Drosophila melanogaster: one gene and its partner. The protein of the gene in region 1 interacts with the protein of each later gene in a pairwise test. Each region holds a gene or a part of one and is shown on either strand. Other genes may lie near its edges.

What was found. Proteins that work in one complex are often made in the same cells at the same time.
Region 2: the proteins of CG14086 (region 1) and CG5532 interact in a two-hybrid assay, tested with the Drosophila melanogaster proteins (one large-scale study listed by BioGRID).

The regions. Positions count from the first base shown.
Region 1 is NT_037436.4:19,273,529-19,280,686, reverse strand, and holds CG14086 (uncharacterized protein), read right to left. Parts: upstream 4,897-7,158; 5' UTR 4,095-4,896; coding exon 3,968-4,094; intron 1,759-3,967; coding exon 1,698-1,758; intron 1,648-1,697; coding exon 1,573-1,647; intron 1,303-1,572; coding exon 1,054-1,302; intron 990-1,053; coding exon 863-989; 3' UTR 768-862; downstream 1-767. Other genes in the region: CG14089 (uncharacterized protein), read left to right, coding at 1-561; CG14085 (uncharacterized protein), read right to left, coding at 6,753-7,158.
Region 2 is NT_033778.4:23,750,560-23,754,394, reverse strand, and holds CG5532 (uncharacterized protein), read right to left. Parts: upstream 1,642-3,835; 5' UTR 1,566-1,641; coding exon 1,490-1,565; intron 1,431-1,489; coding exon 1,168-1,430; 3' UTR 880-1,167; downstream 1-879. Other genes in the region: CG11300 (uncharacterized protein), read right to left, coding at 1,973-2,446; CG12491 (uncharacterized protein), read right to left, coding at 3,237-3,710.

The sequences.
Region 1 (7,158 bases):
ACCCTCCAAACTGGAAGTCCCGCTCCAGCCCCGCCACAGGAAGTGATCATAGAGGAGGATCACGATCATCAACATTATCATCCGCCACACTATCCGCCAAGCTATTCGTATCCGTATCCTCAGCCACAGCCATGCGGTTGTCCGCCCGGTCCTCCAGGTCCACCTGGTCCACCGGGACAGCCGGGGCAGAAGGGCTATCCCGGCCCCAAAGGATCCAAGGGTGATCCCGGCGAGAAGGGGCCGCGTGGAGATAAGGGCCACCCCGGGATGCCTGGAATCCCTGGCCAACCTGGTCCTCAGGGTCCTCCTGGATATCCCGGAGGTTCATATCCACCGTATCCGTATCCTCCACCTCCTCCTCCTCCATCACATGGACATGGAGGCCCTAAAGGCCACCAGAGGCACTACTATAACTACTATGATGAGGACGAGTATGATTACGGCAATGAGCGTTCTTTTGGTCTGAGAAAAACCGAAGAATTCGACGACCAGCCCTTCATTTTGGCCTTTAGTGAACGCAGAAATCCGTTTAGCACAAAAAACAATAAAAGACGAAATTAAAATAACATTATTTAAAACGAAATAGCTTTGATAATTATTTCTGTAGGTAAAAAGCAGATACCCAATACTTAAAAGGAACTTTCAAAATTCTTTTGAAGAATGTCCTTTTTGACTTTTGAGTGGCTTCGTTTATAAATGACACCAAAAATCATACAAAGTGTGGGTTTATCGATTACCTATAAAAATATACCACGCACTCAGCGTTTAAATCGAAACCTCTTTACAAACTGTATATTATTAGACATTTGTTAAGTCGTTTAAAATCTCACATTACATTAGGCAGAAAAGCTGGCTTAAACTATTAGCAAACATCGTCGTCTAGGGCGGTGTGGTCGTCGCCCTCCTCCTCCGCTTCCTCATCCAATCCCGCTTGCGTGGCACCAATCTCCGCGAAATCATCCTCCATGGTATCCACAAAGCTCGACACCCTATCATCGCAGAACAAACAGACATTAGAAACAAATAACAAAGACATTCGTTGGCTGGCATCACTTTTCAAAGTCGCACTGCGGCAGGAGACCCTCCTCCTTCGAGGCGCTGAATCGGAGCAGCGTGCACAGTCTGAGGAGTCCGAGGAGTATCAGGAACATCCCGGCCACATAACTCAGCCACAGATTGTGGGGATACAGGATCAGGCAGATGCCGATGACCGCATAAACAGGAGTGGGTCGCCAACCGCCACAAATCGCTGAAAGTCGCCAGCAGGCCAAGCAGCTGCAGGACCTTCGCTGGTAATTATCCCTGAAACAAATTGAATTCACAAATATGTGAACAGAGAAAAATTTGCAGAGAAAAATCTGAGCAAAGGCACTTGATATAGAGTATTGTATATAATAGTAAAGTATATCATATTATAGTATAATTAGGGTTTAATTAGTTTTACAACTACTAGGCTTGGTAACTAGAATTTCTATATTTCATAAATAATAACTGCTAATTATCAAATAATATATATACGAATAACTATAATTTATGAACATGTTATTTGGTAATCTTGAATAGTTTTCTTACTCTGCGCACTGAAGTTGCAGGAAGATAGTCACAAGCCACTTGATCTCGATAAACATTACCAGCACGGCTGAAAAACTAACCAGAAATTAGTATAGTTATGGGGGATATTTAGATCCGTGACTTACACTATATAAAGACCGGCCCGATAGCCATGCATGTAGACATCAACGCCAACGCCGCAGATAACTGAAATGAAAAATGGCTAAAGAAAGGTTCGGTGCGGGGGGTCCTTTTTGGCGGGTTGAAACGAGGAGTGTTATCCTTGAACGAGCCTATAAAATAATGTGAGTGTGTCTAGGCAAATATATTTATAAGCATATTTATTGAGCTGGGCCTTTTTTGTTTACCATGCTTTGGCCATAAAATGTAATACAAAACCAATGAATGGAAACGAGGTGAGCTCAAGAAGTTTATCGCAATTTTACTGAAGCTTACATCATTTGCAATAGAGTATTTTAAGAAGGCAATGTCCTACACATTACGAAATAACATAATGATAATTAATAATAAATAGCTTGGAAGAAACTTCAATATTCATGACGAACTTAAATTTTATAACTTAAAAGGTTTCTATATTTTTGTCGAACAGCCCTCCGCAGGGCATTCATATTCTAACCACATTATGGTTCCGCTTCACATTTTGTCTTAGCCAAATCCACTTTGAGTGTATAAGATATGGTTAGATGTGGTTATGGAGCCACCACGCCCAGTGGTCCATAAAAATACAATCTAATTAAGTTGTTTTTATTATGCCGGGTCGCGAAAAACCAATCAGATTAGCCAGTTAGATATATGTATATGTATGCCCCATATTTAAGCACAACTGCAGAACCGAAACCAAACCAATTACATTAAATGCTGTCAACGGAGATAAAAATTGAAAAAGCGGAAATCGAAAAAACATGCAAAAATTATCTGGATAATTGAAAGCGGTGGGGGAAAAATAGATGCCGGGCAAGAGGAAAACTTGGCGAATGGCTGGCGCCTAAAGGCTAACAACACAGCTCATTGTCGACCGTATGGAAAAGTTGCTGATAAGGGGAAAATCGGGCTGGGAAAACTCTGCTCTTGGCACAGGATGCCAGTCGTGAGCTGCAAGCTGCAAGCTGCATAGAGGCCAATGCCTTGTTAATGGCTCTGCCAGAGAGTTTCCTTGGAAAACCCCATCCCTCTTACCCGATCCCTATAATGCGGAGCTTATGAACTACAGAGATTTTATACTTTGTTTTCCTGCGTGCCACTGCACCCATGATGGACCCCAAAACAATTTGCAAAGAAATTAGTTTGAACTTGACCCGAAGTTTTTGTTGGCCTGCCTGCAGCTGGGCGATTTATCAAATTCTGTATAAAAAAACGGCGGTGCACTATCTTAAGCGCATTAGGAAAATGTCAGATGGTGGAGGAAAATCGTTATGATTGGCCACGATAAGCGTTTAAGCCAACTTTGATAACTTCACCAGATGGCAGAAAAATTGGGATGAAAAAATGTGATTGCATTTTCGTAGATTAGAATGCGGATACAGGGTGAAAAAGTTACGTTGTGCAACCAAACTGAATTCATTTCAGAAAGGTAATATTATTATTTATTAAGTTTTTGCTTCACTTTACCTTGCCTGTTTAATAAATTAAATTTGACTTCGTAAATTGACAAACGAAATGCCATTAAATTTCAGGCTGTCAATCTAAAATTATTGCCTCAATTTAAACGGAAAAAATGTAACACAAAGCTGGGTTGTACAAAAAAAGCATAATTGAATTGTAATTAAATGACGCAAAAAAAGGGAAATTAATCTTCTACCAATTTACTCTCTGTGTTCTATTTAATTGTTAAGCTAAACTGGAATTTCAGTAGTATTGGATGGCATTTATTTATTTTACCAAATTACATTAGGTCAAATATCCTGTTCATTAGAGCACATATTCTGTGCTATATGTGCTCTGTGAATATGGAAAACCATTTCCTTTTATGTACATTTATTTTGCCAGTCTTCTCAAACAAATGCAAAACCTTTGTGTACAATGAAAATATTGCTCAAAGAGTAATATTATATGAATTGAAAGGAACAATAAAAGCAGCCAATAAGAGCGTGTCCCCATTCAGCATCGTCTTCGTCTTGCGAATCCCATTCAGTGCCAAGAAATATAATAAGCCACAGCACTCAACATATCCCGAGGCAATGGTTCCCATGCACAAGTATTTCCTACGATTTGTCAAGGGTAAACATTCCAAATAAGGGCCAGAAAAGCATTGCACATTCATACATAAATGCATGCACATGCACATGCATCATAGCCTCGTATCGAGATTGGCATTATCTCGAAACGGGGGTCACCTGGGCACCGGCACCGACAAGTCTTATTCCACTGGCTCGGATTTCCGCGCACTTGAGCTTACCGAATGAAGTCAGCAGACCAAAAACCCTTATCACAGGACGAAGGCACTCGCACGGCTCTGCGGACTGATTGCGGCGATGATGACGGGCGCGGCGAACGCGCTGCGATTGCAGTTGCATCTGGCTCATGGCTGACTTGGTTATATATATATATATATAGATATTTACTTTATGAATTTCTATCTATATTTGTTTTATGAATCGCCAAAAGTGCGGCTTTATTCTTAATATCTTATTTATTGGAGCTCAAGTTTTTCTTCTCCTTCGTTATTACTGATGACAAAAGTCGAAGCCATAGCATTTAAATTTTTGATTAATGTGTAAGCTCCACTTACTTAATTTCCAATTTATTTAATATATTTATTCGTTTTTAATTTCACTTTAGAACAATTTTAGTTTTTGGTTAAATTCAAATTTTCAATGTACTACTTTCTAATCCTCCATAACTTTAAATACTCTCATCCGAAACTGACGTTTTAGGTCCTGTCCAAGGGAATCGCTAATAAAACAATCAAAGAGCCGTATCCACATCACAAAAATGCACTACGTGCCTGGCATACTAAGTGGCCAAACAACTTTGCGATAAATATTTTCAATTCCAGCTCGCACAGCTTTTAAATTTCACCATTTAACTCGGGCACACACTGCGTATTCGTAATGTGACATTTTTCGCACCTCTCCTTCCATTGCCTTTAATCACCGCACCGTTTGCTTGTGTGTGTGTGTGTGTGTGTGTGTGGCAACTAATGTCTGCAAATTACCGTTACCATTTGCACTTTGCCCCCGCACGTTGTGTGCCCTCTATAATATATATTTTTTTTATTAAATATTTTTCTTATTGTTGTTGAAGGTTTGTAACTTTTTTTATTTTTGTCAAGTGCCACTTTGCCACACGACTTTATGGCCGAGCTCTAAACAACGAACGTCCGCACGCTTCCAGCGGCGCCAGCAGAATGAAACTGAATGAAAGGACCGGCCAGGATTCGTTTCTATTTTCGGAGTCAGGATCCAGAGTCGCCGCTCAGGCTGCTTTTCCCATTGCTTTTCCTACTGCCACTGACTTTGTAGCCAAATACCAGCCAATGGGGCGGCGCTGCATTCGAAACTGCTAAGTTGATTTGTTACGAGAACGAACGCGTAGTGTTTATTTCTTTTTAAATGCGTTTTTGCGATTTAATGCTGAGATTTATGGAGACCGCAAAATTTATCCATGTTGTTTTAAAGATGTTTTTAATTGGTTAGCTGTTTTTGACATCCACTATCATTTGTATTTGAAAACTTATTTGGCGTTGGCAGTATGAGAATTCTTTAAAACTATGCTCTTGAAATATATTAATTGAAAGCAAGAATATAGGGCTGATTTTTAACTAGAATAATGCTTTAATTTCAATCAGAAGTTATTTAACTTGGTTTTTTTTTAGTATTGTAGTAGGAATACAATTTTTGAATTACATTGTTAATATAATTAAGGAACTCAAATAAATAATTAATTTTCTTTTTGTCTTCAGTATTTTAATTAGAACTGTTTGTATGTTTTATCTCTTTTTTTTTGTAAAAAGTGTTTCCTCTCGCGATTTATTGTGTAGCGTAGCGCATTGGGTCAGTCTTTATAGTCCTGCGGTTTTTTACAAGAAGGCACCATGGGCGAGAGCTTAATATTGTGTGTGATTTAAATATATTCCCACCCGAATGCTTACTTGATTACGATTTTTCCAAATGTAAAAGAAGAGGGAAGTATGAAATTTACCTACGATTTTACACAACGAAAATCTTACTTATATGCACTTGATAAATATTCTACCAGGTGTAAAGATAATCTTTAACTATTACAAATATTGAAGTTTTAAGCCTAAAACAGGATTCTCGGCCCACTGCTCAAAGCCAGCTTGATTTTATTTGTCACGTTGTCCTGTGTGTGAAGCCAGTGCCTCATGTTGTTGCCACTGCTCAAGCGGCTCTGTGTGTGCGTGCCCTCGTCCTGCAGGTCCTGTGGATCCCCGCACCCGTCTTTGGCCACGTTTCAGTAATTTTCATAACTGGCTGAATGGTGAGCGGAGCGGCGGGAGGTGTAAAGAAGCTCAAAAGACAACCAGGAGCAAAGCTGAGCAATTGCCAAGAGGCGGACGAGTACGCAGAATGTGGACAAAAACATTTTCGGTTGCTACACCGCCCTCATCCTCATAAATTAAATGGGGGCCAAATTCAGGAGAGGGGAAGCACGAGTAAATATTTTTTTAGCTCCTCCGCTTATTGTCCTGTGCATTTGCTAAGGTGTCTGTCGTCAGGCTTGTTTGCATTATGCGGCGTTAATGACATCCAAAGTGGCAGCCGTCGCCCCAAGGAAAGTCTCCACTGTCGCCGCCATCTACGACATAATTCACAGATGCCCCACACTCTGAAAAGTTAATTTCCTTAAGGAACAGCTCGAGGATTCTAGCGAAATACTTCTGAAGGTCGTCCTTGATACCGCCTCCTGCAGTTGGAGTCGTTTGTCCAGGTCTTCTATGCTTGCAATTGGTCTTACACTGTACACAATGAAAAAAGTTGTAATTTGCAAAAACAAAATTTTACATTTATTGTAATGTTTGTTTGTTAGTTAATGTCTTTTAGATATGGTTAGAGTTAATTACTTTGTAGCCATTTAAAAAAGGCTTTTTATAATTTATTGATCCAATTTGGTGTCCTCCTCACTTTGATAGCTGTTCTAATTTTTCTCATTTGCATAGCGTCTGCATCACTATTCATTTTTTTAAGTGCATTCCGTCTTAATGACGCTTTCCGCGCCGCTCACTTGGGAAACTCCTTGCGCCGCTTCATTATCTTGGTAATCCCGGCCACCATGGCCACCTCGGGCAGTGACAGCTTGGCATCCTCCTGGAAATCGCAGCGTCTGTTTAAGTGCAGACAGGTCCGTTCCGGATTCAAGGACAGCGGCATCTGCAACCAACTGACGTAGTCGATTTTCAAAGAGCCTGTGAGCAGCTGGTCAAAGGGGGTGTTCCCAATGAAGAACATGGACCTCAGCACCGAGGTCTTGGCCTCCTTGATGTTCTGACCCTGTATGCCTTGGAAAGGACTGGGGTCATTGTCGCCAGTTCCCAGTTGCTCGAGCAGCCAGTCCTTGTTGAACTTCAAATAGTTGTATACCACTTTCAGGGCCTGTTTTCCGATATTTGTGGTCAAAACATCGCTG
Region 2 (3,835 bases), on another chromosome or scaffold:
TCTCTCTTTCTTCCTCGCTTCCGTTTCGTTACCGCATTCCGCATCCGGCATCCGCAGTGGTTAACTGGAAGCTGTTTCCGTTCTAGTGAAAGTGTGAAAATGCAGCCGCATTGGGGGAACGTTTGGAACTGGCACGCAGACGTCACTGCCATCGAAATTGGAAGAAGTGTTTGCAGCTTAAAGTGTTTTTAGCTAGAATTTATTACTATTATACTCTGTACGAAACCCTATTGATTTGTTGTTAGTTCTAGCCGCAGCTAATTCTAATTTAAATGATTGCCTGTTTGCTGAGGGCAACGCAGCAGCCAGCAATGTTGTTATGTTCAGTACACGCATATATTATGTAATCTAATTTAATGCAAAATGCAAACAATTTTGTAAAATAGTACATATAATTCTGTAAAAACTTCATCTACACATGCACGCACTTTCGGCAGACAACCTAAATTATTTCTTGAGCCACAAATCAATCGAAAGGAAATTTAATAATAATCCCACTTTCCAATGTGATAAACATATATAATTTGTACACTCTACTTAACAAATATTTATCGTTTCCTGTTGGGAAAATGCTAGAAAGGTGGAGAATCGATAATATACTTACCTTGCCGCACTTTGCCTGCAGAAAACTCAAATTATTCACTTCATTATTGTAATAAACTTGTTAGAAGCCTAAATTCTAAAAAAAAAAAAAAATCCATCACTCTACGTTTACCTAGCCTAATGCTCTTTTCATGCAGCAACAAAATGTAATAGCTAAGTTTTAGTTGTAGTTAACTGAACATCGTATAATAGATGAAACTGTAAATTTATCACACACACAAAAGAAACAAAAGCTAAGTTAAACAATAAATATACAAAAAAAGATTTGAATGTACGAAATGGTGTATTTCTGTGCTTCTATGCGAACTGTCATACCAAAGTGCCTGAAAGTATGCTATTAAATGTGACCAAGTATTACAATTGAGTACAAAGAAGTCCACAAGTTAAAAGCATAGGTGATAAAATATATTTGCAGCAAGTACAGTTCCTAATCACTATCTTAGAAAGTGACACAGCGCATTACCAAAGTTCCAATCACCGAAAAGTAGAAAACCTATTCAATACGAATGAAGAATGAAGGTAGGGCAATCTCCTGGCAAGTCCAGCATGTGGCCGGAAATTAGCCTAAGGGGCCTTTGTGCCGGCGGGCATTAGGTAGCGATTATAGGTGGCCAGGTTCTTGACCAAGGCGGCCACGGATAGCATGCACACCATTCCGGCGGGCATCAGTTTTCCGGATCGGTTCCAGCGGGCGCCCATCAGCCCGGCCAGGAACAGGGAGGTGCCCAACTGGAGCAGGGGACGAGGCGTGTCCTGGGAGTTGAGGTGGGCGCCATAGCCGAGCAGGGCTCCGAAGGCCAGACCAGCACCCAGCGAGGGAATGGAACCTGGAATGCAGGGCGTTGCACAATCGGACATGACCACGGTCAGGGGGCTGGTCACTTACCCGCCTTGGCGTATCCCATGATTCCTCCGGCGGCGACCGTGGCTGCGTACACATATCCGAACCAATCCACCGGCATTTCGATTTATTTTGATTAAATTTCGGGGTAACCTTTGTTTTGGTGAGAAGTGGAGGTGTTAGTATGACCCTTCCTGCCTTAGTAGAAAGAAGATCCGCTCCGCAGTGCACGAAATTCAGACATCTGGCAGCACCGTTTCGCGGTCATTTTGAATTAAATATGTGCAACGAACTTCCTAATCAGAATATTTATTTCAATGTTTAGAACGCTTCTATTCGAAATATTCATTGCAATGTTTAGAAAGTTTGTTGGGCAAATATAAGTTAGTTTACTAATGTATGCATTACAAAAAGAGCGATGGTTCCTCTAATTTAAAAAGCCATTCAATACATTTATGTTTTTTTTAGATTTATTGCATTTCTGTCTGGAATTTTATTTCAAATTCGTAGCCAACATGTTCGTGAATTTTACAATAGACGACGGTGACGGTGTACACGGCGAACCACTCGCCCCTGACCACCACCTCCATTCTGATTACTCTGGTTGGCCTGACGCCTCTCGCGGCGGAGCTGACGCCTCAGCCGGCGCAGCCGACGCCTGAGCCTAATCACTTCCTGGCTGCTGCTGGATCCACTGTCACTGGGCGATGTGGGCGTAGCTGGTGATGTCGAGGAAGCGGGCGCATCAGGAGTAGCTGGCGAGGACGGTGTTCCAGTCGCTGGAGTTGGCGAGGTCGGTGTACCAGCAGCTGGGGATGCTGAAGGTGGTGTTCCAGTCGCTGGGGATGGTGAGGGCGGTGTTCCAGTCGCTGGAGGTGGCGAGGTTGGGGTTCCAGCCGGTGGAGATGACGCGGGTGGGGATCCTGCCGCAGGTGGAGAATCGGCGTAGGCAGTTGCTATTAGGGCCAAAAGCCCAAAGGCGATAACGAATTGGCAACGCATCTTCAGCTCAGTTTGTCACTAAATGGAGTACTGTGTGGATAGTGGTTTAAATCCGAGTATTTATAGGGATGATCCACTTGATTCGCTTTAATTGTCGAATCTGTGTTTGCTTTGAATGTTTTAGAGTACATTTTACGTTCTCGTCAAGACAAATAGATTAAACTCAATAAAAAGACGAGACTATCTTCTCTGTAAGCGCGAAAGCTGTTGATGGCTGTGGAAAGTTCTAATTCGTTAGTAATTAAACAAAACGGTTTTTTTTTGGATTGGCTGGCTGAACGTATTGTTAGCATGTGTGCAAACACGGTACATTGTTTATTAAATAGATGAATATGTATTGTTAAGCCTTTTGAACAGAAAGCCATATTTAAATAACCTCTAAGCTTAAATAAAGATTAAGATGGCATATTGTACATAAAGAATGAATTCTCACTAAAAGAAAACTTAGAACAAACTCCTATTTTTCACTTTCATTTGCAAGTTCCTAATCGATTAAGTTATCATCTGGAATTATGTCTGCACTTAGACCAGTTCCACTTGATCAACTAACTAGATCGGAAAATGATTTACTTAGGATTCTTCATTAGAGTATATAGTGTAGCCTTCTTCTTCTTTTCCAAGATGAAACCGAATATTGAATTTCTTTGTTTGACTAACAATTCGATCCAAATGATTTCACTTGTTTTTAAGGTGCCAAGTTACCAAGTCATAACTACGATTGTTGCTTTTGTGTATGCATTTATTTTTCAATTTGGACCATTTCATTGTTCGATCGGGTTAAGCCGATGGTTTATCCCCTACGTTGGCGCCTTCTTCCAGCACGACTCTGCTGGCGCCTTTCCTGCTGCCTCTCCCGGCGAATCTCCTGGCGCCTCTCCTGACGCCTCAGCCGCCGGAGCCTGCGAAGCCTGCGCCTCAGCCTGTCCACCTCCTCGCTGTCGGAGCTCGTGGAGGAGGAGGACGTGTCGCTGGACGTGGAGGGGGCCGTGGTTGTGGCAGTCGTCGATGAGGTGGAGGAAGTGGGCGAAGTGGAAGAAGAGCTGCTAGGAGTGGAGGACGAAGTAGACGTAGTGCTATTGCTGGACGGAGTTGAGGTGGAGGACGAAGAGCTGGGTGTCGAACTTGAGCTGGAAGTCGATGGAGTCGATGAATTGGAAGTGGGTGATGTGGAAGAGGACGAGTCGCTCGAGGATGAGTCGGTGCCACCATAAACGGTCGCCACGAGGACAACCAAACCAAAGGCCAGGACGAATTCGGGTCTCATCTTAAGCTCTGTCTGTTGAACACTGTACTCAAGTACTATACAGCATCCAGATCTGTGTCTGCTATTTATACGATCTATCTGGAGGGGTTTGGTCCAAAATCTCAATCTGTGCGTCGTCTTAGTTT